Arabidopsis thaliana: one gene and its partners. The protein of the gene in region 4 purifies or fractionates together with the protein of the main gene of each other region. This does not show direct contact. Each region holds a gene or a part of one and is shown on either strand. Other genes may lie near its edges.

Region 1 (3,266 bases), on a different chromosome or scaffold from region 4:
TAACTTCAAAATAAATTATAAAATTATTGTTAAGAACATTTGCTAAAAGCCCACCAATGTGGATGCTCTTATATCTTCATCATTGTTTTCTTTGTTTGCATGGCGTTTACTTTAGATATGCTACTTACTACTCATAAATTCTTTCCGGTCAAACGAAGCCAATGGCTTTTCCCATGTCCTCTCATAACAGCTTTCAGTTCGGGATCAGTCTCTGCATTGTACAACTCATATCCGGTAAAAGTCCATGGACTCACTATTCTCAAGCTGAGACGAATTCAAGAATTACAATTTTTTCTCGAAACCCTTCTCCAACTCTGTACACTCAACGTCATTACTCTCTTCCTATACACAGGCGAAACAGAGTCCTATGTAACCACACAAAACAGAGTTTAAATCAAATTAAGCAATATAACCCACGAATCAAGTGAGACAGCAAAATGAGATAAAATATCTGCAATCTAGAAATTCAGGAGATTGATAGATCAAACTACTTAAACATTGCTAATCCACAACCACAAACTAATGTAATAATGATTGTTTTGATTCAGTTTTTGGAAGCTTTAACTAATCCATCTTTTCGTGTTCTTCCTCATCATCTTCTGCTAGTATCACCAACCCTGAACTATGAAGTCTTCCTTTGTCCTGTCTCCTTCGTATACTACAACGTTTCCGCTCGCTGACCTGAACTATGTCGTCAAGGCTCTCGGCGACAACAAGCTTCACTGGTTCGTTGTTCTCAGCTGGAATAGGTTGAGAATTTTTGTGGACAGCAGCTTTTCCATCCTAGAGAAAACATTTTCTTTGGTTAGGTTATATTGATTTCATATATACTTCTTTTACATAAAGCTTGTGTGAATGTGTGAAAAAGAGAATGAAACCTGGAAGTCCTTGACCCATGATTCAATCTGGTCAACCTCAACCTCGACCATATTCATCACCATTGATGAAATCAATATCATAAGTATTGACATCTTTATCACCATTGTTATAGTTCTCCTCATCTCTGCAAAAACTCTCTAAACGAAAACAGAGTAAGAAGATAGTTGACGAACACACTGCTTTTGTACTTTGTATTAGAAAACAAGCTTAAATTAGGGAAGCTGCGGCAAAACCCTTAAATTAAGAACCACTAAGCAATAGAGGGTTTAGCTCTAATCAGTTTCAAATATAACATCCTTCAAAACCAGTAAAGGATTCATTGTTTACTAAACCCAAATCTAGCATTCAACAAAATCCAGTAAAAGACTCCTCTTTAATCCATTCCAAACCCACAAAAGACAAATCTAACACTGAACAAAGACCAATGTAGTTTTCACCTTAAATCAGTTAAAGAGCCTACCATTCTGACGAAATCAATAAACCACAAATTTGGAGACTAGTCATTTAGATAAAACTGATACTCTTCTACATATACAGATACATATAGTATCAAAGTCTTCATGCAAAGCCATTTTTCTAGAGGTAGCATTGTGTCTTTCACTCTTACGCTATCTAGTATCTACAGCCTGTATGCCGTTCCCATTCACTTGGTGACTGCTTCCTTGACCCACATGAACCACACTTGCACTCAATTCTGAAACAATAGTTCAAAGATTAATGTGTTGGTCAAATCTCTAAAACAACAAGACAATGATAACAGAAACCTAGGATTAAACACGGATTTTTTATCGTTTTCAGAGAAAAAATCAATTTACGATATTGTGCTGCATAGTCATAATTCATAAACAAATAAGATCCTTTCTAAATGAAGAAATTGAAATAAGGCTGAGACATCTAATACGTACGCATGAAATGCTCTGATATATGTTCCTTCCATGCCATTACAGACTACATTAATCTCATCAGGCAGCTCAGTCTGTGTCGCCTTTTCTGTAGACCAATCCCAAAGAGGTTGTGAGGAAATCTCGCATATTATAGCAATGGAGAAATGCAAACAATAAAATCAGGAGAACATGAGAAGTTAACAATATACTTGAACACTGAGTTCTGTTCTTCTAATATTGATAAGCTCATGCTGGACTTTACAGTTAGGGCAATAGTAACTGTTGTGCTCCAGTTCCTTAAGATGATAACCAAATTAGTGTGATAGTTCAACAAGCGTGTTCATTACTTAGAATCAAAAGTTAAGATGCATGAAGGTGTACCTTAAAGCGCTTATATAAATTATTGTCGCACCCATACGGCCATACATCACACTCATCACAATAAACCTAATACATCAAATCAAGTCAGCTAAATAGATGTAATCATTTCTTACAGGTCTGTATTTCACCAAACATGGTCACATATATTCTCACCCAATCTCCATCATTTGAAGGGCTGCCATACTCTCTTGCAAATGCCACAATACTGATTGGATTTCCGCAACTGAAACAACAAATTTGGATTCAATTCCTTTTGGCAAGAGAATTATTTGTAATTGTGTTTTCTAGATAAAGATGGTTGATGATGCAAAGTTATATACCTTCGTTTTCTCGCAATCTTGTGTGAACAGCAACTGCATGGGGTGCGATAACTGCTTTAGGTTGGGAAATATCTGGCTGTCCGGTCCAAGACTTGAGGTTGAGAATACCTATTATAGAGGTTTCATGTGAAATTTGTATGAGACAAAGGAGAATGATTCAAAGAGGAGAAGTAAAGGAACATAACAGTAATGAAGATTTGAAGTTACCTGAGGATGAAGATTCTTTATGGTGTTTGAGGTCAAATATGGCTCCACAAGCTGCACTTGCGTTTTTCTGCAACTTATGAGATCCAATCAGATTGTAGTCCCAGCTTCCATCTTTGTAGCCTTCACTAAGGAAGAGTTCAATGTGCCTAGCATCAAGAGTTTGCATTGTTCCTACATAGTAAAACAGAAACACTCTTAGTTGCAATTTAGTTATTGCAAGAGATCAATACAAAAGTTTCAGCAACAGATTAGAGTTGATTAGTGTCTTTTACCTCACAGGTACTGAGGTCACAAACAGGTCGCACAAGCTGTAAATCTGGAAAATGAGATAAGCCATATGTTACAGTTTTTCCTGCAGTTGACAAAGTTTCTGAAGATCATGAATAAGACATTTTTGTAACATCCGTTCTATGGTTCCTTCCTTTGGGACTTTCAGGCGACCACTCAAACTCTCAGTCAGGAGTGAAGTTCGAGAATCAAGCACAAAGGCACCAATCGGCATCCAATCTATAATTACAGTGTAAAAAAAACAGATAAAGATGAGGCTGTGATCAGCAAATGAAGTACTTCAAAGTCAAAGATCTGTACAATACAT
Region 2 (5,108 bases), on a different chromosome or scaffold from region 4:
TACTTGACTGTATTGGTGAATCGTTGAGTGACTTATGAGGCTTTTGGCATCTTAAAATTTTTGGATTATTATAATATATGTTATGTTGTCATTTTGGAGTGTTAATGGGTTTAAATGAAATATGATTTTTGCTCTTTTCAAGTTCATAAAATTTCGAAGTTGCTGGCTGATTCATGATAAGTACTATACAATGTCGATATGTTATGATCTAATCTTGATCGCAATACTAAGTAGATGGAGTATATTAAATCAGAAATAGTTGAACTAGAATATGCTCTAACAATGTATTTTATGTACATGAGTTAGAAAGAAAGAAAAAAAGACTCATTTTCTTCTAGTTTGCTTTGCCTTCATTGAATTAAAAATTCAGTGAAAACAATTCAAAATATAAAAATAATGATAATGCGTCTGCCGGGAGTCGAACCCGGGTCTATTGCTTGGAAGGCAATTATCCTAACCGTTGGACTACAGACGCTACTTGTGATTTATATATTACAATTTAAAAATAAAATCGAATTTAATTGTCGAGCGTTCCAAAACTACTAGACTTTCTTTCATACTCTGTAGTCCACTTGTTTTTTTTCTGAACGAAACACAATGTGTTACTTGACAGAAGATAATTACATTTGTTCTTGTACTTGTACACATGTAAAACGAAGCATTTTAAAATATACACTCGAACATTTATCATTCGCTACAAACGATTAACCTCTTGCTTTCTGACAGCTCCGACATACATGGCCAAACAAACCAAACAAAAAGAGAAAACTTACAAACGAAAAGGTATACTTGGAACGAACCACCGTGATTATATCGTTTTCTTAAAAAGAAAAAAGAAAAAAAGTTTTCTCTGGGATGAAAAAAATAGAATCGAATAGAGTAAAATGCCAAAATGACGCGTGTTTAACGAGTTTCGTTGGGGTCTTGGAGAGTTTAGGAAGCCACTGGTTTGGATGTTGCCTTCTTCACAGCTTCAGCGTATGTCCTGTGCTGGTAGGTTAAGGTCGACTCGAGCAAGTCCCATAGCGATGTTTTCGGGTTCCATCCTATTTTCAAAGTCCAAAATTCTATCAGAATAGCAATTGATTTTGATTTTAAAGCATATTATCTATCATGTTGGTGATTATGAAGAATTACCGAGTTGGCGGTTAATGATGGTCATGTCTGGGATTCTCTTGTCACTGTCATCATAACCTTCCCCGTAAAACTCTTTGGAGCTAACATCAACCGTTGGGCTCTCAATGGCTCCTTCTCCACTCACTTTTGCGTAAACCTGAAACATGATTCGTTTTGAGAATTGAGAACCAGCGACAGAGAAATCAAACTATTTTCATAGTTTCCTAACTGATCCATCTTCCTCACCTCGGTCATCATTTCAGCGAGCTGTCTTACTGTAACTTCGTTGTTCGGGTTGCCTACGTTGAAGATGTGCCCATTTGCCCTCTCTGGGTTTTCCTGAACCACAAACATACAATGTCATTATAGGTTTTAGTTGAAACTACTTCGAACTTCTAACATTAACAGTTTGTAAACAAAAAGCTATATATCAGGCAATGGAACGTACAATCATCAAAAGGACAGCTTCAATAGCATCATTGATGTAGACGAAAGTTCTCTGTGATTCTCCACCATCTACAAGCTTGAGAGGCTCACGACGTAGAAGATTCTGAAAGATAGATAGAGATGCATTAACTAAAAGCTTGCATATATACACAGACTAGCATTGGGTTATATACTTGGATTTGAACACTTACGTTACTAAAGCAGGCAAGGACACGTGGGACACCTTCGCTAGGACCATCAATGCCGGGGATGAAATCCATCCTAGGTCCAATCCAGTTAAAAGGTCGTACGATGGTGAACTCAAGCCCATTCTCAGCACCCTCAGCTGTCACAAGAAACAAGTGAAGTTAAGTGTAAACCTTTTGTTTTTACCAACATCATCTTAAACAGAAATGCTTACCGTAAACAAGTCTCTCAATCAGTTGCTTTGCACACGCATATGACCACCTCTGCTTCTCAATTGAACCAAATATGCAAGGGGAAATATCTTCTTTAAGAACATAGAAAGCAGGATCCTGTAGAAAGGCACAACAAACAACATCAGTAAACAGTGAACCCAACCTTAGACGAATAATATCAACTATTCCAAGCTTCTATGGGTGTGTGATAGACTAGCGGACTAAAGTCTTAATTCAATTCAAAAATACGTTTAACGAGATCCAATGAGTAATTCATAATGTGGCTATTAAAACGAACGAAAACGTCAGCTTCAACATGTTCCTCAGTACATTCATCGATGAGATTGATAAAAAGACAATAACATGTGGAAAGCGAAATGTACAAAAAGGCATTACATCACGCAGAGGATGATCCTTAGGAAGAAAGCTTCCAATGGTTTTTCCATAAACTTCACAGGTAGAAAAGTGAATGAGACGCTTGTTGTTCTCAGAACAGTATTTCACCTAACAAAACCAACGCATTACACAATCATCACTGTCTCCATCAACTTCAAAAACAAGAGCTAAAGCAAAACAATGAACGAAGCTAAGAAGAAAACACATACAACTGGAAGCGCATCAATGAAATTGCTGTAGATAGTATCAAGAGGACGTGTATTGTAATCAGCTGGAGTACAGATCGCAGCAAGATTTATAATCTGCGAATCCAAAAAGAAACATCAGAATTACATCACAACATCACCGATCTCAATACATTGCGAAACATCTGAATTCCGATAACGAATCAGATCTGAGACTTCTATCATAAACACCGAAGAACAAGAGATCAAAAAACGAAATCGATAAGCATTTTTACCAGATCCGCCATCTTAACAAGACCTTCAAGTCTCGAATCATGCTTAATATTGATACGATGAAACTGGATCCGACCACTCCATTCAACGGTATCAGGCTCAAGCAAGTGTTTGATCTTATCGTTGTAAACATCGAGCGCAAGCACCTTATGTGGCGTCTCGGTCAAGAGCTTTTCACAGAGATGTGAACCGATGAAACCTCCGGCGCCGATCATGCATATTGTCAACGGTTGTATCGGTTTCCCGTCGAGATCCACTCTATTAGCTCCATTCGCCATTTTTTTTCTCAGATCAGAAAAAATAATCAAGTTCTCTGTAGAGAGAGAATCTAAAGAGGAAGAGAGAGTGGTGACGGTGGATATTTAAGAGAGAAGATGCATCGCATGTGAACGGAGGCAAATTGGTTCGTCGAATTTTGAAATCTCACTCTCTGTATCGGCGCGTGGTGTGTACTCGCTTCCACGTGATCTCGTTTAAATTGGAAAGGATGCGATATTTTATTTGTTCGACTAATCATTTTGTATGATTATTAATTATGAATGTTTAGTAGTCTAATAATTGTGTTTAAGAGTTAAGAAAAAACTTCTTTTTAACTAGATAAATCGTTCTTTGTAACTTTCGATTTTTTTTTTTGGGTAAGCCAAGGGAGACAAAGTCTCCCAAGATTTATTAATGAAAAAGAAAATTACATTCGCACTTGACGTGAAACCGTAGCTCCACTAGTGTCATCCAACAAAATAAAACGTAAAGAATCCGGAACCAAACTAAGAGAATGAAAACCTAATGGTAACGAAAATGCATAGTTGGCTAACCCGTCAGCAAGACGGTTAGCTTCCCTATAAACGTGTGAAATACGGACTCTCCAGTCCCTTGATATGAAGTCATGGCACAATCGTACCAGGAAAGACAGCGGATGTACCTCGTTTATCCCTATCTTCAAAAAACCCACAACAATCTCTGAGTCCACCTCAATCTCTAACCGTGTGACTCGTCGCTCCCAAGCAATGTAGAGGCCATAGTACACTCCCCATAGCTCTGCCAAAGGTGCTGAACAAACTCCAATGTTCAGAGCAAAACCTCCTCTCCAAGCTCCTTCCTCATCTCGTAGCACACCACCAGCAGACGCTAAACCCGGATTACCTCTGGAAGCCCCATCCGTATTAAGTTTCCACCAACCTTCCTCGGGTTTCGACCACGCGATCAGTCTTTCCACCCGTTCTCCATGACCCCCACTCAGTGTCCTGACTATCACATGAGCCATGGACGTCTCCCTAGCCAGATCCTTTAAGAAACGCACCCGATCTCGACATTTGTCTTGAACACCAAAAATGTTGCCACACCGCCATTTCCAGGCCCACCAAATAGACAAAGCAAATAAAGTTGACCAAGTACTCTCACAAGTCTTCCGCCTATCACCCAGATTAGCAAACAACCACTCCAATAACGATTGTGTAAAGAACTCTCGGCGCTTACCCGCAGGAACTAAGCGGATCCAAATGCCTTCCATAGCAGGACAATCACGAAGAATATGTATGATTGTTTTTTCAGCTCCTTTACAGATTTGGCAAATGTCCGAATCACTTAGATGCCTCCTCCTCCTCTCAGCATTCGTCATCAGAACTTGCTGCATTCCAAGCCATAGGAAGAGCCGCACTCTCTCCGGTACCACGACTTCCCATACTCTCTTGTAATTTCCGATTGATATCAAGTCAAATTATTAATTTTTATATTGAAAAGACATTTGGAGTATTTTTTTTGGGTTATTATTTCTGATAAAATCAAATTTACATTGAGAAGAATGGCTTTGGGGAATCAATACAAAAAGTCTTTTCTACGTAGAAGAAAACTTGACCCAGCAACATTAGAGATTCCATTTTGCATTACGAAACTTAAACTGGTTAGGAAATAATTTAATTATTTGCCCAAAAAGGGAAATAATTTAAACAAAATATGATTTTATTGACGTTATTTTAATTAAGCTTCAGTCTTAACTCTTAACTCTTAAGTAGTTTCTTAAATAGTGTGTCAAAAAAAAAAGTAAGTTTCTTAATACTGCTTCTAATTTGCATGTCGTAGTATCAGAAGTTTTTTCAACAAAAAAATCATTATGAAGAGAGTTTATATGAATATCGCTAACCATTATGTGGAATTGTGGATAATGGATAAATTTTGAGAACTAATTGGATTCATGTGTTGCCTCACAGTGAGCTGACGACCGTTCGATCATTGATATACATACACATATGATGAAAAAAAGATGCTAATTTCTCGTTGCTTTTTTTTTTTGGTCTTT
Region 3 (5,185 bases), on a different chromosome or scaffold from region 4:
TAAAAGGTGATTTGGGCTCATTTGAGAAGCGACACGAAGAAGAGTGAGAGCAAGAGCAAAACCACAACAAAAAATTGGGTGATTGTTGAGTTGATGATTTGAAATATATCGATTGTCTTATTTTAGATGCATAAATGAATATTTGTAGTATGATGCTAACGTCAAAGATTTTTGAAAAAACACTGATAACATATATATTCAAAGAAGCTAACAATTGAGCCGAAAGTTGCTTAATTGTTTTGAGATTTTACTATGCTTTTCCTTTTGATTTAGTGGTTTTTTTCTTAGTTTTGGATTAAGTTTAAGCTTTATTTCCTTTGATATTATTTAAAATAATAAAAAAACATTATATGTTATGTTATAATAATATCGTCCTTATCTCATATTTGTTTTTTGATAAAATGTATATTCAAAATTTAAAATAGTAAATACGTTATTTTTCGGATCATCTCGAGTCTAAGACCAAATCTTAGAACATGGATAAAAATCTCAAATTTTAGATATTTTGCTGATCGGGAGAGTTGCATAAAAAAAGCAATATATAAACTTAAAACCTTATGATTTATTACGTGTGACATTTTTGACCGAGGAATGGGATAAAGAAGTGGATGGAAGAGAAAGAATGGTGAGTCACCGTGAGTGATCCCTAACCTCTAGAGATGTGTGAATAGATGATAAGATGCAAGAAAAAACACAAGCCACTTACTTGTACTGGTCCGTGAGAGGACCACGACATCAACTTGACTATGATGATAAACATACATACTGTGAATGAAAGGACCACAATAATATGATAACAGACTTAACAATGCAAGCAAACTTTTTCAACTAAACATAAACAAGGATTAGCAGAATAGAAGGAACCAAAATCCAAAACACTTATTATTGCTTTTTTAATAGGAAGCTACCTAAAAATATATCTAAACATTTTGCTGAACTTAAAAGGCCATATTTGAGCTTGACTTATACTTTGGTGAACTTCACTCTTTTCCATCAGCCGCGCGGAGTGAGCCTAGCTGAACCGGTGCTTGAGTTCCAACCACCTTTGATGACCCGTAAAGCGACACATCGCTTCCCTTTGCTTTCTCTTTCTCGATCTGTTCCTTTATCCAGAAGTAGGTTATTCTAAGCCCCTCCTGTTTAACGATTATGGTCAAAACAATATCAGTAATAAAAGAATTAGATTATTATCTTGTCTTTGAGCTACTTAAGTAAATAATGTTGGTACCTTCAATCTCATATTAGGAGCCCAACCAAGCTTTTCTTTGATCAGATTGTTGTCTGAGTTACGACCACGAACACCTTCCGGGCCAGGAATGTGGTGAATTGGAAGCTTCTTTTCCTCAAAGCTGAGAACCATCTCAGCCATCTCATTCATGCTCACCATCTCATCGCTTCCGATGTTCACCGGCTCACGGAAATCTGATTTTGTCAACCTATAAAACAAAAATGACGAAAATATCAGCCAATTACGTCTAACATACAACTTCATCAACATCAGGAGATACCCTCACCTGAGTACACCTTCAACACACTCATCGATAAAGGTAAAAGAACGGGTCTGAAGCCCATCTCCCCACATCTCAAACCTATCAGTGGAAGTCTGAGCCTTCCTACAGAAAGCAGCTGGAGCCTTCTCCCTTCCACCTAAGTTGATCCAAGCAAATATTAATCCCAATAGTAAACAACTAATCATTCACACAAAGTACGGAAACTGTTTATCTGTATACTACCTTTCCATGTTCCAAAAGGACCATAAATGTTATGGAACCTTCCAATTCGACACTCAATACCAAAATCTTTGTTGTAATGCTTACACAACTCCTCCGTAGCAAGCTTCTCCAAACCATAAGCATCTTGAGGCTATATCAGCATCAAAACATCACATAAGAAAAGACTCATAAATCTTTAGCAAGAACATATAAAAAATAATCACAAACCTCTGCAGGCCAAGCATCTGACTCCTTCAAGCTCACATTAGTAGTCTCCAACTGCTTAAACTCTGGATAGATACAAGCACTCGAAGCATAAAAGAACCTAAAGCAAACAAAAAATCCAATCTTTTTAACTTGTTTTAAGAAACCGTAAACTGCGAAAACCGAAGAAAACAAAATCTAACTAACCTCTTAATCCCATTGATCCTAGCAGCCTCAATCATATTGAAACTAATCATAGTATTATTATACATAATCACAGAGTGATTACTCTGGATAAAACCCATACCACCCATATCAGCAGCTAAGTTAAAAACATGATCAACTCCTTCAGTAACTTTGAGACAATTCTCCATAACCCTAAGATCAACAAGATGGAACTCATCACAGAACATGTCTTCAGTCATGTGTTCATTCTTTTTCCAGTCAGAAGCAATCACGTAATGACCTTCGTGCTTCAAACGACGAGCAATGTGAGATGCAATGAAACCTCCAGCTCCTGTTATTGATATCTTGAGATTCTCAGATGGCCAATATTGCTCTCTTTCTAGCTCCTTGTATGTGTATGCTCCATAGTCTGTTCCATTGGTAGTTCCCATTCTACATTAACAAAACAAATCTGTTAAAAACAATAAGATCTCTCATGCAAAAGCTAGACATCACTGTAGAGTCCTAATTTGTGATAAATTTCTATAAAAAAGATTTGGGATTTAGAGAGTTTTGACAGAGGTAAGATTATTGATGCATTGGATTCCGGCGTAAGTTAGCGAAAAACACAAAACTGCGAGGCGTAAGTTAGCCAAAAACACACAAAATTGCAAAACAAATCTGTTAAACACAATAAGATCTCTCATGCAAAAGCTAGAAATCACTGTAGAATCCTAATTTGTGATTAATTTCTGTAAAAAGATTTGGGATTTAGAGAGTTTTGACAGAGAATGCATTGGATTCGGTGTAAGTTAGTGAAAACACACAAAATTGCGACGCTTAAGTTAGCCAAAAACACACAAAATTGCAAAGAAATATGTTAAACACAATAAGATCTCTCATGCGAAAGCTAGAAATCACTGTGGAATCCTAATTTGTGATAAATTTCTGTAAAAAGATTTGGGATTTAGAGAGTTTTGACAGAGGATGCATTGGATTCGGCGTAAGTTAGCGAAAAACACAAAATTGCGAGGCGTAAATTAGCCAAAAACACAGAATTGCGAAATTCGGATCTCAGAGAAGTTTTGATTCAGGAATCTGGGATTTTAAAACCCTAGATTAGTGGAATTGTAAGGAAGATTGGATCTTTTACCTGAGGAAGGTTTTGGAGAGTTGGAGAGATCGAAGAGATAATGCAGAGAAGAGTCAGAGATTTGAGGAAGAGGAAGAGTAAACTTGTATTTATAGAGAGAGAACAGAAGAAGATGAAGAGGAAGATGGAGAGAGCAACACCACTCGTTGTTTTAGTTTTCCAACTCCTATTGGTATTTGTGCCTCTTTCTGTTAAATTTATTTTATAACTAATAAAATCCTTCGAAAAAAAAAATTAATACTTCTTTTGTAGAGAGTTTTTTAGAAAATAGGAGATTTTATAGAAGATTTATTACTTTTTATTAGGTTTGATGATTTATATTATGCATATTATTTTTACTATTTGTTGAATCGTATTTAGATAGATAATAAGAAATGTTTTAGTTTAGAAAAAAAAAAAAACTAAATATTTTCTTTATTGGTGCACCAAACAATTTCATAATTTTTTTATTTTCTAGCTTCAATATATAAAAATATTTGTAAATAATAAATATATGTATATTCTATATATTAATTGAGAAGTTTTTTTAATAAAATATTTATATTGGCGTGTTATTAACGAAACCGTCATGTTGTGATTCTAATCCATTTAAATAATTGTCCAAATTTTACTAGATTATTACAGATTTTTCAATTAGTCTTATTCATACATATATATAATACACATTAAAAGGAAATTCTTATAAAATTCAAATAATTAAGCAATTAATCTTTAAATAATTATTATTTTGAGAAAAATTACTTTAATTTTTGTTATTTTCTAATTAACTAAAACACTATTTAACATATTTTGTATTTGCAAATAATAGTACATCTTCATATATTAAGAAATGTGTTGTAATAAATTTTTATTAAATATATAATTATTTTGTTATTTTAGTGATATATACTGTATTGAATAATTATAATGTACACATAAAAATATAAAATATTATTTATGTTTGTTTATGACATAAGAGCAACCATAAGTCCATTTTTGGAGTTTGAAACTGAAGAGTAAATTAGAAAAAAAAATCTTAAATTAAAATATAATATAAGTTAGATTGATGTTAAAAATTATTTATATAGTTATAGTATATATATAACCTAAACTATATTAGTTGGTTGAAATATTTGAAATAATAATGATTTTAGTAGTATTTTAAAGTTCATAACAATCAAACGGTCGAACCGAGATCAAACTGATTCGAGTTAATGGTCAGGTAGATTTTTATTAAACTTGTAAACTATCAAACCGTATATAAAACCATTAAAATGATTAAATACGTTTGCGAGAAATATAAATATTTAGAGATAGGCGTAATTCTCATTCAATTTTATCATGTTCCATTATATCTTACTCGTTCTCCAATTTATTTCTCATAAGAGAATGCATTTCTAATATGAGAAAAAATTTGTATTCCGATTAGAAACAGAACGTGATGGAAGCAAAAATTCTCTATATCCTGTTTGGGACAAACACAAATATAATTCATGTATATTTTTATATGATATGATATAATAAAAATATTACAAAATTAATTGACTTCTTTCTTCTTATTGTTTAATATTTTGTTCATAAATATTAAATTACATTTGTTTATTTTTAAATTTTAACTATTATAAAGCATACTATAATAACATTTATTATTTTGAGCATTTTTATGCTGTATAAATTGAAAACACATGTTACATATTTGATTGCAAACGTTAATTTGCTTAAATTGTAACTTGTTGTAATCTAAAAGCTATGTTTTTATCCCGTGTTGGCTCCTTCTATGTCGTTCCTTTTTCGTCATTCCTATTCTCGTTATATTACATTAAATATCATGTTCCGAGTTCATTTTTACTTATCTTTAAACACAATACCAGATACAGCTGTAACTTTTGGGGATTAACATATGCTTTGTTAAAATTTGTAAACATACCATAAATTAAAACATGAAAACAAATTGAAAAAATAAATGATCTAT
Region 4 (4,649 bases):
AACCTCATAGCTGATTTTGTTTTGTTATTTCTCTTAGATCCAACTTATATAATGGCACCGGTCTTGAAAACTCGCTCTGCCCGAGACGAGCTGAAGAAGTTGTTTGCAGGTTCGTAAAACTCAGTTTAGCATAAGGATTTAGATATGTTCACTATCACACACTAAGGATTCTATGTTCCTTTTTGCAGCGTGGTATGAGCGAAGACAGATGAAGAAAATCTACTCTCCTCTTCTTGAAGGGCTTTTGGGTCTATACCTCGGCTTTGAATGGATTCAGGTTTTTACTTCTTCTGTTCACGCATTTCTTTTTTCGACATGTCGTAGTAAAATCGTTGATACCAAACTGAAAATATTGCAGACAAACAATCTTCTTGCTCCTATCATCACACATGGTATATACTCAGCCGTTGTATTGGGTAATGGTCTCTGGAAACTACACCATCATCAGCAAAGACTCCGGCTACGTGTTCAGAAACTTGAAACTGAAGGTGACAACAACTCAAGATAGATAAATAACTGTATAAAACATTATCCTTTGTTTTAAATTTTGTAAAGTGTCTGAAGTATTGAGCCACCATTGACTTGTACAAATAGATAGAAGCAAAGTAAATGTATAGAACCATTTAGTTAATAAGAGAGTAGCTATGTGAAGCTTTTATTTTATGATCTTCCATCTGATTTTATACTTGTTCAAGTTGAGAAATGATCCTGATGAAGACATCAAAGCCTTGGCACATGTCTGTAAGAAGGCAGTATTCGTTCTTTGCATGATATGTAGCCATGAGACCTGCAACAAAATTAAAATAGATAAGGATCAAAGATGAGGAAATTCAGCAAAGGAGAGAATCCGAGTTGGGTTTTGTAATACCGTATCCTGAAGTTTGCACATCAAAACCTTCATCCTACAAACCAAGAGCATGATTCATTGGTTTAGAAAGAGTAAGTTGTAGAGAACTCTGAAAGATCAGTCTTGAGTCTAGTTAAAGTACGGTTTATCAAATGGTTTACCTGGAGGTCTCGGATTAGAGGTAAAGTACCGGTGATCGAGTAAGGCTTCACGTGTCCAACAACTTCTTCGGTTGCTTTGCATAGAACGTGAAAGCCGGGAGAATCAAGATTACACGCAACTCCAGCTGATGCTTCATCAAAACTTAACGTGAGCCTGCAAGTGACAATTAAGACTTTTTAAGATTTCGGTAGGGACAATAAAATGAGAGAAAGAATAGAATCAGGAGAAGAAGAAAGTCCAAACCTTCCCCGTAAATTCTCATCTGGTAAGACATATTTTGAAACAGGACCACGGGTTTCGAGCCTCTCTATGTTACCGTTTATGTCGTCAACATACTCTTGCAACTTCGTTATCACTTCCTTCACGCTGCAAAAACAACCAAAAAGCCATTAAAGTGTGTCTAAATGCATTGAAGAAACGAGTAAGACAAGTGTGAAGAGACTTACTCATAGAAAGGAGTCAACCTGACATCACCCGAAACAGTACATTCTCCGGGGATTTGGTTGATTCCACCTGCTGGATCTGCAAAACCAAACAATTTATTGTAAGTAGACAACATGTAAAGTCATTAGGCACACAACATGCTATAGATTCCAAAACTTACAACACCACTGTGTTGGCTTCATGGTGGATGGTGTTGCAAAACCATAAACTTCCTCTTGTGGGTGAGGCGGAAAGTCTCTGTAGAACCGAGCTTGGATTTCCTTAAGCCCTTCCATTGCTAACTCCATCGCGTTAATCGCCTTCGTACAAACAGAAGAAAAGATCAATGCCAAGTTTGCAACTTCATCTAGAGTAATCCATTCATATATAAAATACCTTGTGAGCTAAACCGCTATGGAAAAGCTTTCCAGTAAACTGAAGCTTCCATGGTATCATACCCCCAGTTCCAACACACGGCTGCTTATCCGCTGTATCAATCCAATACCTTCAAAAGAATACACATCAATAAGCTTCAATCATCCTTCAATTTTCATCTAAAAACTCCCCAAGAAATTTCTAACAGAATGGAAACTAACAAGGGTCCGGATTTGAGCTTATCAAGAAGTTTGTCTTTCACCAGCATGTCCACACCAACACCAGGAATGGAAGAGTTCTCTTCGCTAGCGATGAAAACCGCCACCACCGTTGATTTCAACGCCGGTTTGGCTTGCCCGAGTTTCTTCATGAGTTCAGTGACAAGAGCAACGTGACCAAGACAATCTGTTGTCCCACGACCACGAAGCTTATCACCATCTATGCTTAGCGAGAAAGGATCAAATTCCTATGAACAAAAACCGAAGTCAACCAGAGAATCCAAAATTCAATGTAACCGATTAAACCCTAGAGTACACAAAACAGAGAAAGCTTTGAAATTTGGAACAATTCAGATCAGTTCATCGGAAATTAAACAGAACCCAGTATCAGATTTTAAGCTAATTCTAATGGGCACCGATCAAAATCACATATTTAGAATCAATCAAAATTACCCAATCATCAGGATTCGCAGTGACGACGTCCATATGCATTCCGACGAAAGACAAGATCTTTCCGGGAACAGATCCTGGGTACTCAACGATGAGATTACCTCTACCTGAATGATACGCGACATGATTGATCACCAGAGGACCACCACCAGTTTCTGTGCTATAAGGACGGAGAGAGTCAAGGACGTGTTTGACGATTAGGTCCTCTTGAGGGATGAGCTCCGGCGGATTGTTCTGGACGAATTTAGATTCGCCTATGAGTTTTGATAAGAGAGAAACGTATGAGTCTTTGTCAAGAGAGCCTATGGATTCGATCAGTGCTTTGGAAGACGAAGCCATTTTTGTTACACCAAAGATGTTTTTTCTTTTGGGGTTTGCAAACAAAACTAATAAGGTTTTGGTCAGCTTGTCTACGAGCTTCGTGTGTTGTTTAAGGTTTTGGACCTTTTCGGGTGGAGTGTTACGCTAATTAATTAAAAAATTATACGGAACCAAATTAATTAATGTACATATCACTATCCTCAACAACGAAAAAGAATTAAAAATCTACAGAAGGCTTTGCTTAATGTTGTTCATGTCTTCTATGGATTCCAAAATGTATTCCTTGGCTTTAGGATCTATGGCAACTCACACAAGCAACATCAATTGGCCACGCATCAAGTAAGGATCTGTTGCAACATCGCTCTGGATATTACCCTATGAAGCATGGAGGATAATATATGACCAATTCTTAAATCCACATCAGTTCAAATAGTTGATAAGTAGGTGCATTCGAATACGATATGGTATGGTCACGTGTTTCGGGACAGCCACACGATTCTATATATATGTGGTTATATCATTAAGTATGTAAGTTATGGATTGAAAAGAAACAGTTGATATCCTATCACTTTCGAAAATATTGCAACCAGGCAATCAATTATCCAAGTCGGTTCATCTTCTTAGTCACATAACTAAACCGAGAGCACACAAACAACGAGATTGACATGGAGCTGATCAGACCTAGCGTGATATATAATGTAATTGTGTTAATGCCGATTTCTGATAGATCCAATCGAAAGCAATTGTGTTAATGCCGATTGAGTTGTTAATATAATTGTAATACAAGTGATCACAGCTTCAACCATATATAAGGGATTGTGGTTGATAAGTTCTCAAAAGGTCTTTGGAAAAAGATATCCACGCTTTACTCAAACAACCCAAATAGACTCTTCTCGGAAAATGACTATATATTAATATTAACTTCTTGGCACATGTGATGATGTGAAGATCCACGAGAGAAACAACTAAACGATTAACTAATGAAATTCGACTATGAAAAAATTAGATTTGTTATTTAATTGAATTATTAGTTTAGTCTAATCAAATAACAATGCTAAGAGGTAAACGACAGAATTCTAAAAATTATACTTCACAATCTAATTATATTTTCACATGATATAGTAATAGTTTTTACTTTTAAAACTCCAACTTTAAATGGCGCCGAATACGTCATCCTTTGTCGCAAATTGCAACCAAAGTTTTTGCCATTTATGAAAACAAAGGTGAAAGAGACAATGGATGATTGATATGGGGATTCGAACCATGCTGAGCAGAAGAAGACAGTATAATTAAAGTATCCTATCTCACTGATTCAATGGACTGTTCCTCTCACAGATACAAAATCCCTAAATCCCTTTTTAATTTCATTTGGTCTTAGCATCAAACATCTGTAATTTATTTGCATGCCAACAAATTCATATCTCAGTTGTGCTTTTACGTACACGAATCTTGGTCGGTATATATATATATATATATATATCTGCTGTCTTCTTCGGTTTGTCTTGCTTCATCTTCAAAGTATTACATTTTCTTTCTTTAGAAGAACCTTAATAAGAGTCGATAACCCTAATAATTAAGCGTCCAAATCGTCACTGGGATCTCTAAGTGAAGATTGTTCTTTTTCTAAGTTAATTCAACCGCTAGAAAAGAAAATCATTTGGGTAAATATTAGAATTAAGTTTGAATATGACCATGCGTTGTAGATATTTTTATTTTTATTTTTATTTTACAATACATATACTATCAATGATTGGTGTAAATTTTAAAAAAGATAAATAGAAAATCTACATGCTATGTCGAAAATATATATTATAAAATAAAGAAAATGTATGATGCTAGCTAGAGATGGTGAG

What was found.
Region 1: the proteins of AT4G17830 (region 4) and AT3G62510 fractionate together in Arabidopsis thaliana (co-fractionation; one large-scale study listed by BioGRID). This does not show direct contact.
Region 2: the proteins of AT4G17830 (region 4) and AXS1 fractionate together in Arabidopsis thaliana (co-fractionation; one large-scale study listed by BioGRID). This does not show direct contact.
Region 3: the proteins of AT4G17830 (region 4) and GME fractionate together in Arabidopsis thaliana (co-fractionation; one large-scale study listed by BioGRID). This does not show direct contact.

What each region holds. Positions count from the first base shown.
Region 1 is NC_003074.8:23,121,073-23,124,338, reverse strand, and holds AT3G62510 (disulfide isomerase-like protein), read right to left. Parts: upstream 1,509-3,266; 5' UTR 1,487-1,508; exon of another isoform or gene 1,151-1,486; intron 1,004-1,150; 5' UTR 1,002-1,003; coding exon 879-1,001; intron 784-878; coding exon 565-783; 3' UTR 548-564; downstream 1-547. Other genes in the region: AT3G62500 (F-box protein RMF), read right to left, coding at 1,851-1,869, 1,973-2,059, 2,145-2,210, 2,298-2,367, 2,465-2,572, 2,672-2,842, 2,955-2,987, 3,062-3,178.
Region 2 is NC_003071.7:11,863,751-11,868,858, forward strand, and holds AXS1 (UDP-D-apiose/UDP-D-xylose synthase 1), read right to left. Parts: upstream 3,249-5,108; 5' UTR 3,094-3,248; coding exon 2,818-3,093; intron 2,660-2,817; coding exon 2,567-2,659; intron 2,466-2,566; coding exon 2,358-2,465; intron 2,079-2,357; coding exon 1,964-2,078; intron 1,889-1,963; coding exon 1,755-1,888; intron 1,667-1,754; coding exon 1,565-1,666; intron 1,456-1,564; coding exon 1,363-1,455; intron 1,274-1,362; coding exon 1,138-1,273; intron 1,047-1,137; coding exon 934-1,046; 3' UTR 527-933; downstream 1-526. UniProt on the Arabidopsis thaliana protein: Together with AXS2, catalyzes the conversion of UDP-D-glucuronate into a mixture of UDP-D-apiose (UDP-Api) as the main product and UDP-D-xylose to a lesser extent, via a cycle of oxidation and reduction.
Region 3 is NC_003076.8:10,861,492-10,866,676, forward strand, and holds GME (GDP-D-mannose 3',5'-epimerase), read right to left. Parts: upstream 3,456-5,185; 5' UTR 3,235-3,455; intron 2,554-3,234; exon of another isoform or gene 2,535-2,553; 5' UTR 2,534-2,534; coding exon 2,124-2,533; intron 2,038-2,123; coding exon 1,941-2,037; intron 1,864-1,940; coding exon 1,734-1,863; intron 1,648-1,733; coding exon 1,515-1,647; intron 1,437-1,514; coding exon 1,229-1,436; intron 1,137-1,228; coding exon 981-1,136; 3' UTR 525-980; downstream 1-524. UniProt on the Arabidopsis thaliana protein: Catalyzes a reversible epimerization of GDP-D-mannose that precedes the committed step in the biosynthesis of vitamin C (L-ascorbate), resulting in the hydrolysis of the highly energetic glycosyl-pyrophosphoryl linkage.
Region 4 is NC_003075.7:9,914,081-9,918,729, reverse strand, and holds AT4G17830 (Peptidase M20/M25/M40 family protein), read right to left. Parts: upstream 2,918-4,649; 5' UTR 2,815-2,917; coding exon 2,479-2,814; intron 2,274-2,478; coding exon 2,014-2,273; intron 1,938-2,013; coding exon 1,829-1,937; intron 1,753-1,828; coding exon 1,614-1,752; intron 1,532-1,613; coding exon 1,456-1,531; intron 1,376-1,455; coding exon 1,253-1,375; intron 1,163-1,252; coding exon 1,009-1,162; intron 903-1,008; coding exon 869-902; intron 788-868; coding exon 681-787; 3' UTR 543-680; downstream 1-542. Other genes in the region: AT4G17840 (CAAX protease self-immunity protein), read left to right, coding at 38-109, 189-277, 359-508.